3 linked regions of the Saccharomyces cerevisiae S288C genome follow. The gene in region 3 interacts genetically with the main gene of each other region. Each region holds a gene or a part of one and is shown on either strand. Other genes may lie near its edges. The genes, in order: LYS20, ARD1 and GCN20.

Region 1 (7,805 bases), on a different chromosome or scaffold from region 3:
TAGTATTTTGTGTATTTTCATTAGGAACTGCCCATGTATAACCAAAAGATTTCTTCAAAATGGGCTGTTCTTCGTCTATGGGGAAACTCAAATCACCCGTATCTAGAGTTGTCAACTTTAATGAATTGTCGATGGGGTTCATCATGATAATTGTATCGTCCTGCGAATTATCTGGTACATGCAGCTGCTTCTTATTTTCATGAGGTTGCTGTCGTATGCTGCCATAAGTTGATGACGATGAACGTAGAGGTTTGATTGGATGGTACTCAGACGAGTATACGTTATTCGATATGGAAGATGAGTCATTTCTTACTTCAATACATTTGGACAACGTAATATCACTTCTGTCTACGACGTTGGGGCGATATTCTGTACTACAACCGCAGTCATCGTTATGGCTCATATCATTATTGTTACAGTAAGTGTTGGCGCTTTCCTGGTGTGTGAAGCCACTATTAATGTTTGGATCGGCGATTTCTTGGTAGTTAAACAAATTCCCTATTATGCATATGGTGAATTCACCCAGGGCCCATGATATACCAAAGATATAGGCTTGTCTTGGAATGATGTGCCAAGAACATTCCTTATGCTTGATCGTACCGCCTTCGTGATCTTGCACCTGAGGGTACGCTAAACCAATCAGTATCAAAAGCATAAAGACGTCGTTGATAGGAAAATCCACTATCAGGTTCAATATTAAAAACCTTTGATTTATATTGAATAGAAAGGTCTTCAGGAAATAATAAAGAAATGGTGAAAAAAGCCCCAAAAGAAAGGTCCTGAAATAGTCCTGCGAATTTGGTTTGAACATCAATGGATCATCATACTGGTGTAGCAGTAATTCGGACGACGCATAGAATAGTGAAAACAGTGAAATACTAAACAGCGCAGAAAGTATCACTATGTGAGGCCTTGTGGAGCAGAAAATAGGCATAAAATATGATGCTGCATGATTTAATCGGACCATATTCAGATATATTTCACAGGTATCTTTCTTTTGTGTAAAGAATACGAGGTATGATTTAAAACGTCAAAGAATGGAAGAGAAATTTTGAATGCGAAGAGATGCTAAGTATATTCTTGGTGTTAGGCTAAGCTTGTTGAAACAAAAAAGAAGGAATTTTGAAATTTCGTATCTTAAGTATGGACTATTGACGTTATTTGGAACTTTTCCATGTTCCACACTGTTCCTATCTTTCTATGCCTTTCCGCATTGGGACGAACTTTGCGCGAAGTGGAAATAATGAGTGACATTAGTCAGACAGACAAGAGGAAAATTCAAACCAGAGGAAAACTAGAATGATAGTTATCGAAAATGCAAAAGCTCAGTGTGATGTATTATTATATAGTTTTTCTGCTGTTTGACTATAAAAGAGTAAGAATATTCTAAAAAAAAAAAAAAAAAAGCTTCTGCGGAAACGCATGATTATTTGGTCATCGAGTCAATTTTATTTTCCAAAGAATCAATCTTCTTTCGTTGTTTTTCCAGTTGTTCTTTCAAATGGCGTAGTTGCTCCTTCTCACGCTGCCTAACGAAGAAGTCTTCCGTGGCCCTTTCCCTTTTAACAAACGAATCCTCTGAGCCTGACCCTCTTGGGGTGCCGGTAGAACCTTCAGAGTAGAACCTTGCGGCCACACCGCGCTGTAATTGCAATGAGCGTGCTAATGCTGAACGTGGTAACATATTCTATTGTGGAACTGTATAAAAGTGTGCTGTAGTAATGCGTGTAAAATGCACTCCTTTGGGATAGCAAAAACAAATTCAACCACGAACAAATTCAAAGAAAGTTTTAAACAAGATACAACAAGTCAAGTTATGAACCCCTCCTTCTCTAACGATTGTTAACGCCTTTTCTAGCCCCAAAACCTCGTTGCAGTGGAAAACGATGGGTGTCAGCAACTAGACAGTTGATTGGCATAATTGTGAATATCTGGATATTTGGTACCCGCAGCAGCCTCCCCTTATTCTGCCGCGAATGCGCGCGTCTGATTGGCCCGGCATCACGGGAGAGTAAATCTTCTTCTTTTAATGCGTATCGGACAAAGTAGATGGGAAAAAACATCATTTAGATATGTAGATGTAGATGCTATATATCGTATGTAATAAGTGAAAGAACATAATGTAATGGTTTGGGAACGTTAGGCGGATGGCTTAGTCCGCTTGGCGGCGGGGATGGTGGCCAGTTCCGGTACATCGCTGTCATTCTTCTTGTTCTTTTTTGCAGATAGTACTTGAGGAGTGCTGACCTCTGCGTGGAAGTTCTTGATGATAGAGTCAACATCATCGATATTCAGCGATCTGACATCACCCAGCTTCTTAATCTTAGCAGTAACTTCCTTGATTTGGTCATCCGTCAAGTTCAAGTTCAACTGGTCGACTCTGGCTTTGATGGCGTTCCAGCCAGTTAGTCTGTTGGCGAAGTGGATATACCTCTTCATACCGAAATCGTGAGGGTCCAAGATTTCGTAGGTAGATGGGTTAGCCAAAATGGCCTTGGCATGGATACCTGCTTTATGTGTGAATGCACAGAACCCGGTGATAGGGTTGTTGAATGGAATGTTAACTTCCACAGCATCAGCGACCAGGTTTTCAATGTCTCTGATCTTGTGCAACTTGTATTTGGACTTGACATAGTCTGGTGCGGCAACAATCATTCTTGCCATGAGCCCACCTAGAGGAGTGATACCGTTTCTTTCACCAATACCCAGTACACTGACGTCAATCAATCTGGCACCACCTTCCAAAGCAGTGTAGGCGTTTGCAATGGCACAACCAGTATCGTTGTGGAAATGGCATTCGATGTCACATGAAACAACACTCTTCAAAGTTCTGATCAGTTCATATACTTGTCTTGGGTTGGCACATCCAACTGTGTCGGCAATACCGACTCTATTTACACCGATCTTGTCAACGGTTTTATAAATGTTCAAAAGATCAACGAGATCACTTCTGAAGGAATCTTCAGAGGAAAATCTGATTTCAATACCTTTGGATTTGACAAATTCAATGACTTCAACAGCACTCTTGGCGATGTAGTTCATATCCTTACCGTGGGAATATTGTCTTAAAAATTTGGAGGTGCCGATAACGACATCGACACCGTCGACACCAGTCTCTACGGCGACTTTGGCGTCATCCATATGACAACGAATGTGTGTAAGGATCTTGGCCTTTAAACCTAGTTTACATATAGCTTCACAGTCCTTTCTTGATTGTTCAGATGCTACTGGTGAGGTTAACTCGATGTAGTCCACACCGAAATCGTCCAAGGCTCTAGCAATTTCGATCTTTTTTTCAGTATCGAAGAATGCGTTGGCAAATTGTTCACCTTCTCTCAGCGTCGAATCGATTAACTGGAAATTATTTACATTAGAAAGATAGTCGCCCGGTTTGGCAGCATATGGATTTGGTTTAGCAGCAGTCATCTTTAGGAAAACAATACAGGGTCCTTCCTTTGTTTGTTATGTAGATAAGAAACAAGAATAAACTAAACGGGAACATATCAAATACACTTTATCGATAAGCAGCCAATATCATTTATATATATCATCATCGGGTATTTAAGCAGGTGTAAAAAATGGCCAGCGATGAGGCCCTTAAAACTTGGTAATAATATTACTCACGCATCATCGTCAGCAAGAACCTAAAGCGCAAATTAAATTATTGCCTATTGCTCTAATGTCGTCGTCGTCCACTACCGAAGAGAAAATTCCCCAGCAATTTTGGTCATATTTTTCAACCATGAATAAGGGATAGTGGGACAAGGCCAGGCCATTGTGACATTACTCATTTTTTTGCCACTTGCAACGCTAGTAACGCCGTATCCACAGAGAAACCGGGAGTGGCGCGAAGAGATCTTTTTTTTCTTTTACTACGTGTGATCCTCTAAAGAATTCTTTTTCTCAACCTAGCAAAGTAACCCACGCTTAAACTTCCTTGCAGAGAGTTCCCGTCGGAATTTGTTTTTTTCTTACTAAAACTACGCAATATTCCGGCGGAATTTGACGCAGACGTAACATCAGTCATCAGTTAATTTAGAATAACGATGAGCCAGCTGATCGGGTACTGTGGACGGAGTTTATAAGGAAGAGAAAATGCTGAGTGCATTAGTCATAAGAGAGGAGCGTGATCTGTAATTCCCTCTGCCTGTGCGGATCACTTCCTACAATTTATTTTGTAAAAGAGAGCACGTCTGTAGTTTCAAACAAAATCACCAACTGTGCTTTGTTCGAATACCCAGGGAACTGTTTGTTCGTCGAATCGAGATAATAGCAAACAAGAGTCTCGGTTGAGTAAACGCTCATAGACAAGAAACTAGGAACATGGCTAAAATCTTGCATCGATGTAACATTAATATAAATAGTTTGCAGCAACCGATTTACACAAAAACTGAATCTCAAGCGCACGCAGTATACCAAATTTGGTTCCTAGAGTTTTTTATATGGGCGGCTAACCTTGGAGAGATCAAAAAAGTGTACTTAACTACGAATGACATTTTAGAGGGTTTCAAGCGTATTATAATGAGATAATCTTTCAGCTGGTAGCAATTATGGTCTAATAATTTTTCGTTTATTCGGCCCTCAACCATTTGTTGAGCTTATACCGATTTAGAGCCCATAAAACGTCGTGATAATCCGCAACTTCCACGCTACCACTTTCCACCATCTATCAAAAAAAATAAGAAAATTACCATGTGTAACAGCTCCTTCCATAATTTGAAGCAGGCTGTGTTTATTCAGTTCTTCGTTTGTTTTTCTTACTTCAACGCTCCTTGTTCGATAGCTTTATTTTCTTGTTTTTCCTCCACTTTTGGATGGATGGACTTGACGGCTGTCTCCGCCGGGGAGTAAGCATCGGGCATTGTGCCAAGATAGTATCTAAAGGGTGTGCTATCTGGCACAGTTTCAGTTACTAGTTAGCCATGAAATTTTTCCTTTTCAACGTAGCAGTATCCATATCATTGCTCTTCATCGATAGAATCATTTTATCACAATACCAAAACTTCATCCGGTGTATTTTAGATTAAAGATGATACGTTCAATATTTATACCGCCAACTAGTATAACTGCCACTTCTCGACTGTTCTACGGAATGAGGGCGTATTCAACAAAACTTGAAAAGGCTTCACTCCAAAAATATCTGCATGATCCTGTTAAAGTGACTGTGATACCAATAACGGACAAAGAATCATTCATTTACTATAAGCATACCGATAATCTCTTTAATAGTCAGTCTAGAATATTAAAAGCAGAAAAGTGGATCGTTGAGAAATCAGCAAAGCTTTGGAGAAAACTGAAAAAGTCCCCTAAATCGTATAATAAAAAAATAGTGTCCATGGTGCAGTCTCTGTTAAATAGCACACCCTGGTCAGAAAATAGTCTGTTAACCATACCAAGTGAAAGCTATATATTGAAGAGAATTAAGGGAGAGAAAGATAAGACCCAAGAGATTCGACTCACATTGAAAGATTATACCGTAAAGGCAGAACAGGTCGATACTCAACCCTTACACGTGTATTATCCCCCTGGAATTTCTAGCCCTGATGAGTGCTTGAGACAAATGAAAAAGCTCTACCAAGAAGGCTTAATTTATCACAAAAAATGGACTTTATATTGCCTTTTAGGTCTCCCGCTGACAATTCCTCTAATTTTAATACCGCTTATACCAAATGTTCCAGGGTTCTACCTATCTTATAGAGCTTATGTTAATATCAAAGCTTACCTTGGTGCTAAGCACTTGAAGAGTCTACTGGAAAGTTCAAAACAAAATTTAGAATTCAGGGAACTGTTGGGATATACGGAAGTATATAAACGTGGGACCAGCAGCCGTACGCAGGGCAATCAAAAGGAATCAAAAGGTGCACCAGAATTACTACTTAACAAGAAAACCCTTCCGTTGATCTTAGATTTCTTAGAGGTTCATGAACTAGAAAGCGACTTGAACAAAGTCATCCTTCAAGAATCGAAATCTCAAGAGAAAAACAAAATTTAATGTAGATTGTCCACTATCTCATGTAAATATACATAACAGGTATTCCTGAGCGTTCGAAAATTAGACTGTACTTTTCTGATGCGCTCCCGTACACCTTTGACATATACAAACATCCGCACATTTTATAGCTTTCTTTCTAGAATTTTTTCCACGCGCTCTCGATCAATGAACTCTTAAAAGTAACTGACCCCTAACTTTTTCCCAGGCAAGGCTGGCCTCATTACCCTACCCGAAAGTTTCACTTTTCCCCATGGCAGATGGACGATATTTTAACAAGACGAAACTGACCTCGTCTTCTATAAAACTGGACTTCTAAGCAACTCTCATTTATCTTATATCCGTTCCATTTTGTACTAAAAGAACCAGACCACATCGATTCAATCGAAATGAGAGCCAAGTGGAGAAAGAAGAGAACTAGAAGACTTAAGAGAAAGAGACGGAAGGTGAGAGCCAGATCCAAATAAGCGGATTATGAGTAAATAACTCTAATTTTGTTTTAAATTCTTTCAAGAGTATCGTAATGTCATTGATGAATTAACATGTTAGTTTCTATTCTACCTCATAATGGATCTAAATTGCATACTAATCTCACGGTGGGGTGTAAACCATTGCCTACTATTTATATAGTGCTTTATATATGTCTCACATAGTTTAATCAATTGTCCGTTTTTTTGAAAACAAAAGTTATTTATCATTGTAATTGTGCTTGGCAAGTCTTGTATTATGTTACTGTGTCATTTCATTGAGGTACATCTGTTAATTTCCTTTAATTATTTTTTATCTTATTAACATACGCCTATATAAATTTTTTGAAATACGAAGAAAAGACATCTAACAAATATACCAGAAGATAAATGCTACATATATCTTAATCGGTAGATTCAGCAAATCTTTCTTGCATAGTGCTCAACAATTTTTCGAATTCGCCATGGACTTCCTTTTCACCCCTGCTTGGTTCAAAAAATTTAGATGAAGAAACGGCATGCTTAACGTCACCAGTAGAGTCAGCTAGTTTTGACCAGTTGGCACCATTAGCAACAGCTTTTTGAGCTTCGTCATGATACGAGATGAAGGCTCTCATCATATCAAATGTCTTCCAAATTGGACAGAAAGCATCATAAGTGGAGTAACCATTTTGTTGCAAGAAATCTTCCTTGATTAAAGTGGCAACATCCAAAGTAATCTTATCACTATCAGACAAGGCCGATTTACCAACTAATTGAACAACTTGTTCTAATTCTTCAGCGTTTGATAGAATTTCCTTCATACGATCTCTTAAAACAGGAAATTCAGGGTAATTGGAATCATAAAACTTGTTCAAGACATTAGTGTATTTGGAGTAAGAAACAGATGTGTTGATAGATGGGAAATGCTTTCTTTGAGCCAATTTCTTGTCTAAACCCCAAAAGACTTGAGTGATACCCAATGTAGCAGTAGTAACAGGATCTGAGAAATCACCACCGGCTGGCGAAACGGCAGCAACGATGGAAACGGAACCAGTACGATCTGGGGAACCTAAAGCAACAGCTTTACCGGCTCTTTCGTAAAAGGAGGCCAACTTAGCACCCAAATAAGCTGGGAAACCTTGATCAGCAGGCATCTCACCCAAACGACCAGAAATTTCTCTCAAAGCTTCAGCCCATCTTGAAGAAGAGTCTGCAATCATAGAAACATTTTTACCTTGATCTCTGAAGTATTCTGCAAGAGTGATACCAGTGTAAATAGAAGCTTCTCTGGCTGCAACCGGCATGTTAGATGTATTAGCGACCAAAGTAGTACGCTTCATAATTGGTTCTTTAGTACCGCTCATTTC
Region 2 (7,667 bases), on a different chromosome or scaffold from region 3:
GGCACTGCTGGGGAACGTGAGAATGAGAATGAAAGCAACGTTAAGCCTGAAAACCAATTTAAGGAAGACGAGGTTGATATGTCAGATTCGGATATAAATGGGTCTAATTCACCAAGTTTCTGCCTCTTGGATATTCAAGGCAATACCTGCACGTTATACATTTATTTATACGTTAATGGAGAAGTGAAGGTCGATAAAGTGGTTTATGAAAAGGAATAGGGTAGCCATTTTCATTTTTATGCATTTCTATGATGTCTAAACATTAGATGCATTCGTGAACTTTTTCTTGCAGACGAGATAGATGTAATTAAGATATCCTATCTGCCGGATATTACATATATAAAAAAAGAAAGCTTGCATGCACAGTTTCCTTACTATTCATGCTCACACAATTCTACCGAATTAGCACTGCAGTGTTTAGAACCGTGCTCAAAAAGAGCTAACAGAGCTTGTGAAGAAGCCTGGATGAAAATATACTACGTTTATATAGGTTGATTTAATTATACAATGATATCATTTACGCCTTGCTTAATGATATCCTCTAGTAGATCGCTTTCTAGATCGTCTTCTAGTTTTTCCTCATTCTCTTTCAAACGGCGATGGGTGAAGTTGCTTATCTGCAACTCCTCTAATTTTAAAACCTTCTTCATGGCGTATGCATCTTCACCATCCTGATAGTAGCTTTTCTCGATACTCAACACCTCAAACGCCAATGTGTCCCTGTACAAGTGTAAAGCTGCTCTATTAGATTGTCTCACATGCAAGGAAACATATTCCGCTTGATGAACTTCTCTCAACGCAAATAAAGCTTGTCTCATTAAGTTTTCGGCAATCCCCATCCTTCTATAGGTTCTCATGACACTTAAGGAAGTAATATGACCATTTGGTGGCTCGTTTTGCTGGTCGGGGTCGTCGTTCATCTTCACGAGAACGTATCCAACTAATTTTTCGCCCGGAGCCAAGTATGTTGGATCCAACTTGATTGTCCTGCCGTCATTGGTCCCATCTAAGGTCAATTCCAATTTGTCGTTCTCATCTTGTTCATCACTATCTTCACAGTCCAAAGTGGTGGTAGTAGCAACAAACGAAGCCTCTGGCCACGAGAGAATATGATACATATAATATTTCATCATATAATTTTCGGGTAGGTTATGAAGGTTGGCATTTTGCATACATATAATGTCATTGATTGTCGCTCTGCGAATATTAATAGGCATGGTTGACGAAGTTTTATTTTGGAGCTTGATCGTATGTATTTAGGTTTCCCTTTTCACTTGGCAATTACTCGTTGCTGACAAAAGGTTTCAAACTTTTCAGACGGTGCTTTTTTTTTCTGTTCAAAAAACCAATTGACGCGAGAAAGTGAGGATTGAGCCTAGAGATCAATAAAGACAAATTAGCATTGGATGCAATACTACTAAAGCAAGCGCTTTAAGAGAAAATATTTGTCCTGGAAGTCTCATGGAGATTATACTTTATGAATTCTTTATCTCCGGGCAGAAGGCACTTCAGCGTATCATTTGTTCCATGATATTTTCTGAATAAACTTCAGAATTATAATACACAGTATTTACACATCTAATTTTTGACTACAGTATAATATTCAAGCTTCTTGATTTACCTGCAGTTATGCTTAAATTCACATTTGAATTCTTTAGTATCCGTTTAGCTAGTTAGTACCTTTGCACGGAAATGTATTAATTAGGAGTATATTGAGAAATAGCCGCCGACAAAAAGGAAGTCTCATAAAAGTGTCTAACAGACAATTAGCGCAATAAGAAGAAAGAAAACGGATTGAAGTTGAGTCGAGAATAATTATGGCACCCAGAAAACGCTTTAGGCTACTCGAATTAGGGTCACCAACACATTCTAAAAGGAAAGTTCAAAAACCTCTTCAAGAGAAGACCCCAAACTTGCGAGTTTCTCCACTTGCTTTTAAAATTGGTAAAGAAATCAAGAATAAGGAAATCAGAAAAACAAAAAAAACAGAATCAGAAAATATATTCAATTCGAAACATGTCGATTTAAGACTAGAAAGCCCACATCCAGGATTAAATTTTGTAAGTGATGCTCAACAGTACTCAAAGGCTGGAGATGTTCGATATTTGAAAAATAAATCAAGCAATACCTTGAAAAACGAAAGACAAACAATAGAGCGCCCCTCATTTGATAATTCCTTAAGGTTCGAGGACATTGAGCAGCCTCCAAAATCTACTTCAACGCCGGTTCTTTCTCAATCTTCTCAAATAAATGTAGAAAGAGAAGCACCCATGTTTCCAGTTCCTTACTATATTGCTCCTTCTCCTATGTATAATTTTAGCCCGTATCAAAATTTCGTTGGAAACCCAACGTTCCTGACGCCAAGTCATAACCCAAACCTAAACTATGCCATTCCCATCCAACGGCCGGAGTTGCTTTATCCGAATGTTAACGTATACGATTCGCCATTGTTTAAGAAAACAAGACTGCCCCATCAGACCAAAAGTCTAGATAAAGAAAAAAATTACCAATATCTTCCAATATATCCGGTCTCGATTTCTAATAACGGAGATTTTGTTGGCCAAGAGACACCAAGGGCAGCACCAAAGTTAAGTAAAAAGAGACTTTCAAATACATTGGATGTTAATTGTTCCGATTATGAGTCTAGTGGACAAAATGCAACTTATAATGATAGTGAGTCTTCCCTTAATTAAAAAGATTAGTTTACTTTTTCTGTAGAATGTTAATTAGTTTATTGCATAGAAAATCTTTAATACTGAATGACAAAATTTCCACAATTTTTTTTAAAAAAATTATCGACAACTGCAGGACTCGAACCTGCGCGGGCAAAGCCCAAAAGATTTCTAATCTTTCGCCTTAACCACTCGGCCAAGTTGCCACTTATTATATAAGTCGTAAGCATAATATCAGGATCTTATGCCTTAGTATAAGTCAATTGAAATTGCAATCCTTGTATGTTTTATATTAAATTTTGGGTGAATAATTGGATAATTGTTTGAAATCCATTGTTGAAGAAAGGCTATAATATTCGTACACAGAGTATACTAGAAGTTCTTCTCGAGGGTCTTGGAATCCACAAAAAGGCGTCGATAAATCTCCATAACTATATTACTTTATCCTATTACATTATCAATTCTTGCTTTTAGCTTCTATTGTATTTGATAAAATATTTCGGCTTCTTTTATGTGTATGCGATTGCGTATTACTAAATATAAATTTATATTTCCTGCGACCATTTGTCCGTCAGAAAAGGCTCTCAAAAAAACAACACTACCCTTTTACCGGAAATCACAAACTAAATGTTAAAATAAGAATTTAACATCATCCATTGATTATGAATATTGAGTGAATGATTTAATGATTGTTGCGATTTCCTTGTTGGTGAAGGCTATGATATCAGCTATGCAGAATATACTAGTAGTTATCCACCAGAACATAAGAATCCTCAAAATGTAATTAAAAATCCACTATCGTCTATCAACCAATAATTATACTATCAATATATTATCATATACGGTGTTAGATGATGAAATAAGTTATGAGAAGCTGTCATCGAAGTTAGAGGAAGCTGAAGTGCAAGGATTGATAATGTAATAAGATAATGAAACATATAAAACGGAATGAGGAATAATCGTAATATTAGGTTGTAGAAATATAGATTCCATTTTGAGGATTCCTAAATCCTCGAGGAGAACTTCTAGTATATTGTGTATACCTAATATAATAGCCTTTATCAAAAATGGAATCCCAACAATTATCTCAAAATTCACCTAATTCTCAGAATCTGTATTTCGACATAAGGTTATTATGATTATTTCTCCTTCCGTTCTATATTTTTCATTACCCTATTACATTGTCAATCCTTGCATTTCTGCTTTCATTAGAATTGATGACTGTTTCTCAATGTTTATGCCATCTTCTTACAACTTATTTGACAATAAACTAGTAGCGTGAGTACTAATAAACGGATGATATTTTGAAGTTTCATAACAACAATCAAAATTTGATGTATTTCATTAAAAATTGATTGATTTTGGGTAATGCAAGGATGACGTATTCGATCATGATTTTCAGATCGACCAGTAAGTTCCGGTCCTATAGTGTAGTGGTTATCACTTTCGGTTTTGATCCGGACAACCCCGGTTCGAATCCGGGTAGGACCTTTTTTTGCTAAAATGAACTTGTGTCACAAATTCCGTTCGAAATGGCGGTCCTTTTCCAATAAGTTTTCTTTTTATGGCATTTTTAGCAATTAGAGCTTACTTAACATAATGAATTATCCAAGTCAATAAAAGCAGAAATACGAAAAATTCCCTAAAAAAAGATGCCAAACTCTCATGGTAATGTATTGAATAATATCTCTTTAAATAGCAAGCAAAATCCCAGATCGATTTCTAAAAGTTGCCCAAATGATAAAGATGCAAGGCAGAAAAGCTTCAAAACGATATCAGCCCAAGCACTAGTACGCGTGCAAGGAGCTGGATATAAGCTCGGTGATGTGAAATTAAAGGATGCTGAAGTCAAAGAAAAGAATAGCCTCAAAAAATACGATTGTAAAAATGCAACTCAAGAAAAGAAAGAACAAGAGCAAGTATTTGAAAAAACTGTTGCAAAGGGAAGCGTGCAAAAATATATCACGAAAACTTCAAAGACAAATAGTTTGTTTATAGGAAATCTGAAATCAACTGTCACTGAAGAAATGCTAAGGAAGATATTCAAAAGGTATCAATCTTTTGAATCTGCTAAAGTGTGTCGTGATTTTCTCACCAAAAAATCATTGGGTTATGGCTATTTGAATTTCAAGGATAAAAACGATGCAGAATCTGCAAGGAAAGAATTTAATTATACGGTTTTTTTTGGTCAAGAAGTTAAAATAATGCCATCTATGAAAAATACATTATTTAGAAAAAACATCGGAACAAATGTTTTTTTCTCTAACTTACCACTGGAAAATCCCCAACTGACCACAAGATCATTTTATCTAATAATGATCGAGTACGGAAATGTACTGTCATGTCTTCTAGAAAGAAGAAAAAACATTGGGTTCGTTTATTTCGATAACGATATTTCTGCTAGAAATGTAATCAAAAAATACAATAACCAAGAATTTTTTGGAAATAAAATTATATGTGGATTGCATTTTGACAAAGAAGTAAGAACTAGACCTGAATTTACAAAAAGAAAAAAAATGATTGGCTCCGACATAGTTATCGAAGACGAACTATTGGCTAGCAATAATTTATCAGATAATGCTCGTTCGAAAACAATATTAGTCAAAAATTTACCATCTGACACAACACAAGAAGAGGTCTTGGATTACTTCAGCACTATTGGCCCCATAAAATCTGTATTCATCTCTGAAAAGCAGGCGAACACACCACATAAAGCGTTCGTCACATATAAAAATGAAGAAGAATCTAAAAAGGCACAGAAATGTTTGAATAAAACAATTTTTAAAAACCATACCATTTGGGTTGGTCCTGGTAAAGATAAGCCTGTTCATAATCAAATTGGAACGAACAAGAAAACAAAGGTTTATCTAAAAAATTTAAGCTTCAATTGCAATAAGGAGTTTATTTCTCAACTATGTTTACAAGAAAAAATAAGATTCAGTGAAATTAAGATCACAAACTATAACTCATTAAATTGGACATTTTGTGGACATGTTGAGTGTTTTTCTCGTAGTGATGCTGAGAGATTATTTAATATTTTGGATAGGAGACTAATTGGAAGTAGTTTGGTTGAGGCATCATGGTCAAAGAATAATGATAATATACTAAATGAGATAGACTATGACGATGGTAACAACAATGAAAATTATAAGAAATTAATCAACATTAGTTCCATGATGCGTTTCCGCACACAAGAGTTATCAGCTCATCAAAAGGGATTAACGTCACAGTTTCAACAAGTAGTTTCCCCATTCTCATCATATTCAAATTCCTACACAAACATGAACTCTCTCGTAGCTACGCCGATGAAACCTCATCCAGCATTTAATTTAATTACAAATACTGTTGACGAAAAACTGCATCAGCCTAAGAGAACTAAACAGGAGAATGCAGAAATACTTGAGTCCTTAAAAAAAATTATAAACAGAAATTTACAACGTATAAGTATTTCTGGTTTAAATAAAGAAGAAAATCTGCGCAGCATTTCCGAGTTTATTTTTGACGTATTTTGGGAGCATGACTCAGAAAGGCTATCGCACTTTTTATTAATGACAAATACTTCATTAGAATCACAGAAAATTCTACAAAAACAAGTCACTAGAGCTGCTGAAAGCCTCGGATTTACAGTTTGATTCCTTTTAAAGGAAGAAGGCAGGTTCATCAATATGCAATTTTCGGTACAAAAGTACGTATGTCTATAAAAATAGAGTATTGTTTTCTTTGCTATCTTAATCTACCCAGAATTATTCCAAGGAGTTTCAGCCTCGATTTTTTTTTAGTTTAATGGCGTATAGTCCAGTTTCAAGAAATACTCCACCTACTAAGTGAGTACTTAAGAAGTGGTTCCTCGAAGCTTTCCATTGTGATTATATAACTACAAACATTTCGTAAACATAGCTGAATAAGGAACCCATCCTCAACTTCATAACTCTAAAAAAAAATTCTATATATAGGAACGAGACATATGGAGGACGATAATTTAAGAAACTCTAACGTAGTTTGCAGGGAATATTCCTTCTTTTCCGTTAGTCCTGCCTGTCCACCAATCATTTTGAGAATCTGATTTTTTTAAGATAGTAATAACATCACCTTTTTTGAAAGCCAAGTCGCCTGGTTGTTCTCCAGCAAAATTGTAGAGAGCAACAGCCGTTGGTGTCGCCGAATTTGTAGCAGTGGATTCATTACCTAACCCTGTCTTCGACATTTTATGTGATAAATCATCGACATTGCTCATATTGCTGGGGTGAGTTGGGCCATGACCAAGGCTATAACCCCTTTCTCTACCATAACCACGCCTATTTCCTCGGGTATTATCATAATCCCTACCGGAATGGTTGGGACGGGAGTATTCAGTATCTCTATCATACAAATCATCTTCCCATCGGGTATTCGCACGCGGCTTAGTACCCCTATCTATCTGTGGGCCTCTATTGCGGCTGCTGTTTCTATTTGGAGATCTTCCGTAATCATAATCTTCATCTTCGCTATCAAAATCTCCATACCCGCGACCACGTCCGTAACCATCATCATCATAATCATCATCATAACGACTGCGTGACCCCAGCGACATTCCTCTTCTTCTTGATGATCTTGTGTTTGGACGTGTTGAGGATTCATCAGTAGAATCAAAGGAATCTGGAATATCGTCGTAATAATGGCTTGTGTTGTCGCTGTATTGACCGTCATCATAAAAATCATCACCGCTAGCGTTGTCATCATGGTCGTGGCGTGTAAAGTTGAACGCTCTTGATTCCAAGATACGGAGTAGGGGGTCTGCTGCTGGTGGAACTTTTACTCTACCTGACAAAATCATCTTTGATGTACAGTTATCGCCGTAAAACTTTCGATTAGCTTCCCTTCTCTCCAAGATGGCTGAACCTTCCACAGACACACCGGCAAATAAACCTTTGCTTTTGGAATAGGCAAAAACTGCCGAGACACCACCTGTGGATGCAGAAGCTGCAGCTTCTGCACTTCTTCCAAGAGGACCTGCGG
Region 3 (8,054 bases):
CATGATGTTGAGTGAAGTAGCCTATACGTAATCTTGGGTTTCTTGATACAAAGCCTTTTAGTGGTCTTAACTGCTCCATCATAATCTTCAACAGTGTAGTCTTACCACAACCATTGGCACCTACAAGGGCAATTCTGGAATCCATTTGAACGTCCAGGTTAACATCTTTCAATAATAGGTTGTTTTCATCATAACCAAAGGAAACGTCTTGCAATTGGATAATTGGTGGAGACAATTTATCACATTCAGGGAATTTGAAATCAATGGTTTTGTCTTGTTCAGGTGGCTCCAAAACGGGCAATTTTTCCAATTTCTTAATTCTTGATTGAGCTTCCTGTGATTTGGCAGCATTGTATCTGTATTTGTCAATAAACTCTTGCAAGTGCTTTCTGTAAACCATTTGGTTATCATACTCACGTTGAGCATTCTTTCTACGTTCCTCCTTTGTGGTGTAAAAGGTATCGAAATCTTGGCCTCTGTAATAGTCTAGTCTTTCGTTGTGTTGATAAATGATATCTGTAGCCACTTCATTCAAGAATGCACGGTCGTGAGAAACTGTCAAAACTGTATTTGGATATGTTTTCAAATACTCTGCTAAATAAGCGATGGATGGCACATCCAACATATTGGAAGGTTCATCTAACAACAAAAGATCTGGTTGACAGAATAAGGCTCTTGCCAAGGACAATCTCATTCTCCAACCACCGGAAAAGGAATTAGTGGGTTGTTGCTGTGCCTCCGTACTGAACCCCAAACCATATAAGATTGATGCTGCCCTAGCTTCAGCCTTGTCAGATTCCATATCGACTAATTTGTCAGAAATCTGTATCAAATGGTTATCCAAGTCTTCTCTTTCATTGTCCAATTTTTTAACTTCTAAACTGTCTTCTTCGAATTCCTGTCTTAATACATCCATTTCCTTTAATCTTTCATTGATCTTGGCTTCTTCACTTAATAGTTGTTTTCTCCAAACGTCTGCATCCAGCACACTTTGTAAAGCCTTTGTATCATCACCTCTTAACTCTTGTTCCACGTGTAAAATCGAAACATGTTTGGGGACGTTCAGCTCTCTTCTAGATAGAGCCCTTAACAAAGTAGATTTACCAATACCATTTTGGCCCACAAGACCATATCTGTGACCAAAACTTAGAGTCAATTGGGCGTTGGACAAAATTCTTTGACCGTCACCAACGTACAAGTCGAAAGTGTCAATATGGATATCCTTGGATTTACCAGCGGATGAACCGAATTCTAAAGGGTTGATTTGCAAAAAGAAAGAATCGTAATCCTCCTCCTTTTGGTCATTGATCAATTTAGAAGCCTCGTATTTAACAAATTTGTTATTTCTCTTGGCGACTTTCTTTGCGATCTTTTGTTCAGCCTTGGCCAGTTTTTTCAAATCAACTCTTGTTTCCATCTTTCTACCAGTATGTTCGATGTCACCGTTCACACCCAGCATGCTTAATGAGACGTTGATATCGGATTTACTGTTATGACTCTTTAAGACATTAATATCAAGTAATCTCTTGGACGTATCACCGGTCAATTCCAATTTGGCTTCGTTCTCCTTTAGTTGAGTAGTCAATTGCTTCAAAATACTTTCCGATAGTTCTTTAACTTTAGCCTTTGACGCACCCGCATCAATCAATAAATCGGACACAAATTGCACTTCAGTGGACAAATCTACCTGCTTACTTTGAACAGCATCAAAAGTTATTCCGGACAAGTGGTTAAAGTAGCCCACTGCGTAATCCGTGACGATAGGGTCAATACTAGAAGCAGCTTTTCTCACTTGCGAACCGATGCTTGCCATTTCAAAAAAGTTATTTACCTTTTGTGCTATGAATCGAAGTTAACGTTTTAGCGCTTCAAAACGACTAGTCTTAGCTAGCTTACTGCAGAATATATATTTCTCTTTTCAAATGTCTTTCATTTTCTACTAGATCTAATAATACGAAAAATTTTCAGGAACAAAAAAATAAAAATCAGAAAAAAAAGAAACTGCGCAAGCCCGGAATCGAACCGGGGGCCCAACGATGGCAACGTTGGATTTTACCACTAAACCACTTGCGCTTGTTTTCTTGTGAAAACTATCCTTGGATAAATCAATAATAATGTTTGTAACTTCTCTAACCAATTTGAGATGTAACGAATGATAATTAGTGTGTTGGAATAAAAATCCACTATCGTCTATCAACTAATAGTTATATTATCAATATATTATCATATACGGTGTAAAGATGATGACATAAGTTATGAGAAGCTGTCATCGAAGTTAGAGGAAGCTGAAGTGCAAGGATTGATAATGCAATAGGATAATGAAACATATAAAACGGAATGAGGAATAATCGTAATATTAGTATGTAGAAATATAGATTCCATTTCGAGGATTCCTATATCATCGAGGAGAACTTCTAGTATATCCTGTATACATAATATTATGGCCTTTATCAACAATGGAATCCCAACAATTATCTCAAAATTCGCCAAATAGTCAAGTATTATAGCCTTGATCAATAATGGGATCCAATAATTATTAAACTATTCACCCAATCTTCACAGATCTTCTAGTCAACGAGGGAAAATCCATATTTCTAAATAGTATTATTTATCCTTGCACTTCAACTTCCATTGAAGCTGATGATTGTTTCTTAATTTTCATGTTATCTTCTGGCAGCGTATATGAGATTATACTAATTATATGAAAATATATTAATAGTATAGATACTAATCGGTAAACGATAATCGACTCTCATCACAACAAAATGCTTTTGCAAATATTGAGGAAATTATATATGTTTATTAAACATATATATCCTGTGTATTTATAGAGGCTTTCCTCCAACATTTTATTATTTTTGGCAAATAATACAGTAGCTTAGGATATCTTACGCACGCAACTGCAGGAAAAGAACGTCAAGACATTCTGTGAGTTGTTTTCCCGCAAAATGTTCCACCGTCGTTACTTTTTCAATTTCATAAACATATATCAGAATGGAAAAAGCCTTCATAAATGAGCTTCGAATTTTTGCGCAATCTCGAATATAAGAAGCATGTATATTTGTCATCTTGCTTTCATTGGAAGCAAAAGGGCAAAGTTTCAATCTTGTGCATGTAACCTCAGTAGTAATCTATAAGTGTGAGATATATCTGTCAATTTTTGCAGACCATTAACATTTTCCAAATACATCTTGAACTCTTCATCTTCGAGGGGAATTGTCTCCGTCTGGAATTTCTGCCTAATCAATTTGATAGTCTCTTTATGATGCATTAGAATGTTTCCTCTTAATTGGGCGACAATGTAATTTAAAGAGTCTTCGGAGTAAGACAATAAATCCATGGATTCAAGGGTTACCTGCTTGGATTCCTGTAAACTTTTCCGGAGCATTGAATTTTGGCGCTTCAACACTCCTAGCATAACGTCATCTTTCGCATTTTCATCCAGATTGTTGCTTAGTTGCTCTTTCTCAGTAATAGGAGCTTTCCCTCTTTGTTCTAGAAATCTATTAAATAATGCAATATTTTCCGTGGTATCGTGAGGTTCTTCAGATGTCTCATACTTGTTTAAGCTTCCGGATAATATGTCTATGTTCCTTAGTATTTTCGCCTTTTCTGCTTGATTTTCCCTCAACTGTTTCACTAGCTTGTTAACTAACAAGTACATATGATTCAAGTTTTCTGCTTGAGGAGACATATATACTTGCTGCTGCTGCTGCTGCTGCTGTTGTTGTTGTTGCATTGACAAAACGTTGATTTGGTCACTCATATCTAAACCTTGGCTTGAACTTCTTGTAGAATCAATATGTATTACTTCCCATATATGTCGTAATAAAGGGCACCTCTGCAGAGTTCATAAAGAATGCCGTTTTTGCTTGCGCGCCTTAATTATCTGTATTCAGTTCGATTTTACAAAAATATATACAAGGTTCCGCCTAACCTTCTAGTCGTTGCGGATATGGACGATATTATCTACCTTAATTAAATGATTATCTATATCCCTGCCATTCAACAAATCATTGCTGCGAAACTTCTCTCGTCCTTCTGCAATAGTCGTGACTAACCCTGATTGCAAATGCCTTTTGGCCACCCTTTCTTCGGTGGCCTCATAGTCTATGTCAATCTTATAAACAAGAAGTGCTCCCGTATCAGCTAATGTTTTGTAAATTTTCTTCCAGTTTTCTTGGTCATACAGTAGGTATAACCCTTCAAGTATAACTATCCTTGTAAATTTGGAAATACAGTACTGATCTGGAGTTGGGTCTTTTAGTGCATGGTTAAATCCTGGAACAAAGATATCAGGAATTGTTTGGCTAAAAGTTTTGGATAACTTCTCAAAAACGCTTGAAGTGGAGTAAAATTTATGATGTGAGGAGACCTTACATAGGGACGTCTTGGCTAGAATTTTACACAATTGTAAGAAATTGTTACTGTCAAACGTTGAGGGCGAACCTCTTCTTTTATGGGCAGTTTGTGGGTCTTTGAATAGGTCTAGACATCTGCGAGATAAGTGAAAACCATCCATTGGGACTATTTGCGCTATATTGATACTATCCTGGGCCAACTTGTTAACATTGACTGGATTATCAACTGCTGCGATTCTTATGGCATTCGCAGTACCACCTCTGGCAACTACTGCGGTACATTCTTCATTATTTGATGTAAGGGCTGAGTACTTGACTGGTTGAAAATTAACATCCTCAACATGATCTTTAAACAGCCCCTGATTTTCAATCATTTCAGCTACTTTATTGGGCTGGAGCGTCTTTAAAGAGTCTACTAGGTTAACCATAGGTTTCAACCTATCATTAACCTCAATAACATTTGGATGCTCTGACAAAAATGTGTGATATTTTTCATTTATAATTTGACAAAGTTCTTCCGCAATAGTAGACTTACCGGAGCCTGGAGAACCGACTAGGATAACACAAACCCTATAATTATCTTCGATACGGTTATCCAATAGCTGAAGAACGTCGTCTGCTAGTTTATGCGTATCGACCATTGTGGCTAGAATGATCCTCTGGTATGATACAGGATAAAATATGTATAGTACTAGTGAAATTAACCTAACAAGGTTACTTCATTTTTCCCGAAGAGCAATACTTGATGATGCTTAAAGGTACGCATTTAATGAACGAAAAATAACACAGTTCGTTTGAGTAAAAAGAAAGCTCACAAAATTTAATACAGAAAAAAAATTATATGTAAACTGTGGACAAGTCTGATAAGCCCAGATAACCCTTCTATTTCACGAAGGTGCAAGTGCGATTGAAAAGAATTGTTTCATGGCATTAGCTATCAGGACACGAATGCATAATCGTCAAGATATTATCGGTATGCAGCAGTTGAAGTTGTTATTAATGTTATAAGGCACCATCATATGTGGCTTTGGGATGATCTTCCGCCGATTGGTGTTCATATTACAAAAATTTTATCACGCTCGAGGTTAGAAGATGGCATCAATTATGAGGCATGAATAACAAGGTTTAAGCACTAGTAATCATAGCGGATGCTGAAACGCCAAGGTTAATGAGTTCATAAGATTAACGAATAACGAGAACTTAGGTATGAGTCAAAATTTTACTTTCATAATAGATTTATCGAAAATGTGATCAATTTTCTGAATAATTTGATAACTGTTGGGATTGCATTGTTGATCAAGACCATAATATTATGTACACAGAATATGCTAGAAGTCTCCTCGAGGATGTAGGAATCCTCAAAATGGAATCGGTAGTTCTACATAATAATATTACGATTATTCCCCATTCCGTTTTATATGTTTCATTATGCTATTACATTATCAATCTTGCATTTCAGCTTCCATTAGGGTTGATAACTGTTTCTCAACTTTTATGTCATCTTCCTGAACCGCATATGATAATATGCCAATAACATGAATATTACCAAATGGATGGCATTTCAAATTATTACTTTAACAAAAAGGAACCAAATAACTCATATAATAATTACCTATTTCTCAAATAGGTGGACGACGGTTTATCCAATTCCAACAATAATAGTAATTACTAATATTATGTAGATTTTTCGATCCAAGTCCTCGAGGGCGACTCATAGGAATGCTATCTTCAATCAACAATGACATCCGAATAATTATCTCAAGTTTTACAACATTCTCAAATATTATGGTAAAAAGAAAACTTTGCAATCTGCAAAATTCTCGAATTCTGAATCGCTAGATTTCCTTATGAGAAAAGTCACATTTAAAGGTGTTAGCAGCTAGTTATTATAGTCCTATAGTTCCTGTAACAATGAATTTTTCATAAATAGAAGCGGATTTAGCTCAGTTGGGAGAGCGCCAGACTGAAGAAAAAACTTCGGTCAAGTTATCTGGAGGTCCTGTGTTCGATCCACAGAATTCGCATTCATTTTTTGCTCTTCGGGGTTGGTCCTTAATTTTTTCAGTGCCATTCCTTATATTTCCAAATCTAGTTAAATGGTGAATCCAAGATTATAAAAAAAATATACAATTCTGTGTACAAAAGAATATACTAAACTTCTAGAAGCGAGTAAAAAAAAGTTAATACCTAAACGATTACGTGGAAACCTGAACGGGGTTTCTTCAAACCTTTTTGAACGATTTTTTCAATTTCATCAGGGTCAGAAGTAATACCAGTTAAGTTCTCGTAACCATCTTTGGTAACAAGGATATCATCTTCAATTCTAACACCACCGACATACATGTATCTTTTCAATACGCTCATATCGACAACTTCCAATCTTTCGGGGTGCTTTTCCAAAAATTCTTTGATCAAAAATTGATTAAAGTAGCAACCTGGTTCATTAGTGATAACCATATTTTCTTTCAAAGGACGGCGGATTCTTAAATATCTAAACATTGGATCTGGGTCGTCATAGTTTGGATTACCACCAACGTCGTGTACATCAAGCCCCAACATATGCCCTAGTCCATGGGGATAAAAAGCGCAAGAAGCTCTTCTTTTAAAGATTTCGTCCTCAGAAAACTCTTTCTTGAAAATACCCATACTTAAGAAATGTTTAATAAGAACCTTGTGTGTCAGTGCATGTAAATCGTCCCATTTAGCACCAGGTTTAATCCTTTCCATTGCTTGGTTTTGCATGTCAAGAACGGTTTCGTAAACTTCACGATGTTCCGCAGTAAACTTGCCTGAAGTTGGGAAACATCTGGTGATATCACTTGTATATTGTCTCCATTCTGCACCTGCATCAATTAAGATGGAATGTTTACCTTTGATATCTTCTGAATTCTTGACGTAATGTAAAGTGCCACATGCCGGTCCAGAACAACAAATGGGGTCATAGCCCAAAGAACGACCACCTTGACGGGTTGCATGGTATTCAAATTCAGCTTGTATTTGTAACTCGTTCAGTTCGATGGGCAACGCGGACATAACGGCCAAATGGCTCTTGTCTGAAATCTGACAAGCTTTTCTGATGCTTTCAATTTCATACCAATCCTTAATTGCTCTAGTTTCATCCATAGCATAAAAGAAGTTAGGGTCTGAAGGAATTAGTGATCTTGCAATATTCTCGTCATGAACATTGTCCAAATCGGTTGTAAAGATAGCGAAGTCTTGCAATTCTTTAAATTTTTTCCCCAGATCAGATATGTACAAGGCCTCATCAATGTCAAACACTCTCATTGCCTCATCCAAACTCAAAGGCATACCGCTCCATATGACATCTTCTTCATCGATGTTTGGCAAAAACAATGTCAGCTTATCTGTGCTACAGTTAAACAATATCGCCGAAGCAGGTATATCAACACCTGACAAATGATAAAAATATCTATTCTGTCTAAAATCTTTGTTGGTGTCACAATACTTGTTTCCCTCTAATTCTTCACCAGCAATAAAAAATGCTGTGGATATCTTTGATAGCTTCGGATTGCGATTTAACAACAAATCTTTAACCCTCAAGTTATGTTCTTTCGCAGGATACTTATGATTTCTTATCTTGACCGGAATTTCATTTACGTTTGCTACCTCGCCCATTTCTTCCCCTTTTTCTTTACTGTAATAATACTTATCTTTGTACTCTGGCTGTAAAAT

What was found.
Region 1: mutations in GCN20 (region 3) and LYS20 together harm fitness more than expected from each alone (negative genetic interaction), as found in Saccharomyces cerevisiae (2 studies listed by BioGRID).
Region 2: mutations in GCN20 (region 3) and ARD1 together harm fitness more than expected from each alone (negative genetic interaction), as found in Saccharomyces cerevisiae (2 studies listed by BioGRID).

Annotation. Positions count from the first base shown.
Region 1 is NC_001136.10:129,058-136,862, reverse strand, and holds LYS20 (homocitrate synthase LYS20), read right to left. Parts: upstream 3,427-7,805; coding exon 2,140-3,426; downstream 1-2,139. Other genes in the region: AIT1 (Ait1p), read right to left, coding at 1-967; INH1 (ATPase inhibitor), read right to left, coding at 1,427-1,684; MRX19 (Mrx19p), read left to right, coding at 5,030-5,992; 60S ribosomal protein eL41 RPL41A, read left to right, coding at 6,379-6,456; VMA1 (H(+)-transporting V1 sector ATPase subunit A), read right to left, coding at 6,861-7,805. UniProt on the Saccharomyces cerevisiae protein: Catalyzes the aldol-type condensation of 2-oxoglutarate with acetyl-CoA to yield homocitrate. Carries out the first step of the alpha-aminoadipate (AAA) lysine biosynthesis pathway.
Region 2 is NC_001140.6:130,230-137,896, forward strand, and holds ARD1 (peptide alpha-N-acetyltransferase complex A subunit ARD1), read right to left. Parts: upstream 1,218-7,667; coding exon 501-1,217; downstream 1-500. Other genes in the region: retromer subunit VPS29, read left to right, coding at 1-219; SPO13 (Spo13p), read left to right, coding at 1,818-2,693; MIP6 (Mip6p), read left to right, coding at 4,325-6,304; YSC84 (Ysc84p), read right to left, coding at 6,652-7,667. UniProt on the Saccharomyces cerevisiae protein: Catalytic component of the NatA N-terminal acetyltransferase, which catalyzes acetylation of proteins beginning with Met-Ser, Met-Gly and Met-Ala.
Region 3 is NC_001138.5:156,247-164,300, reverse strand, and holds the start of GCN20 (putative AAA family ATPase GCN20), read right to left. Parts: upstream 1,814-8,054; coding exon 1-1,813. Other genes in the region: FAR7 (Far7p), read right to left, coding at 3,101-3,766; YFH7 (Yfh7p), read right to left, coding at 3,941-5,002; YFR006W (putative Xaa-Pro dipeptidase), read right to left, coding at 6,549-8,054. UniProt on the Saccharomyces cerevisiae protein: Acts as a positive activator of the GCN2 protein kinase activity in response to in response to low amino acid, carbon, or purine availability.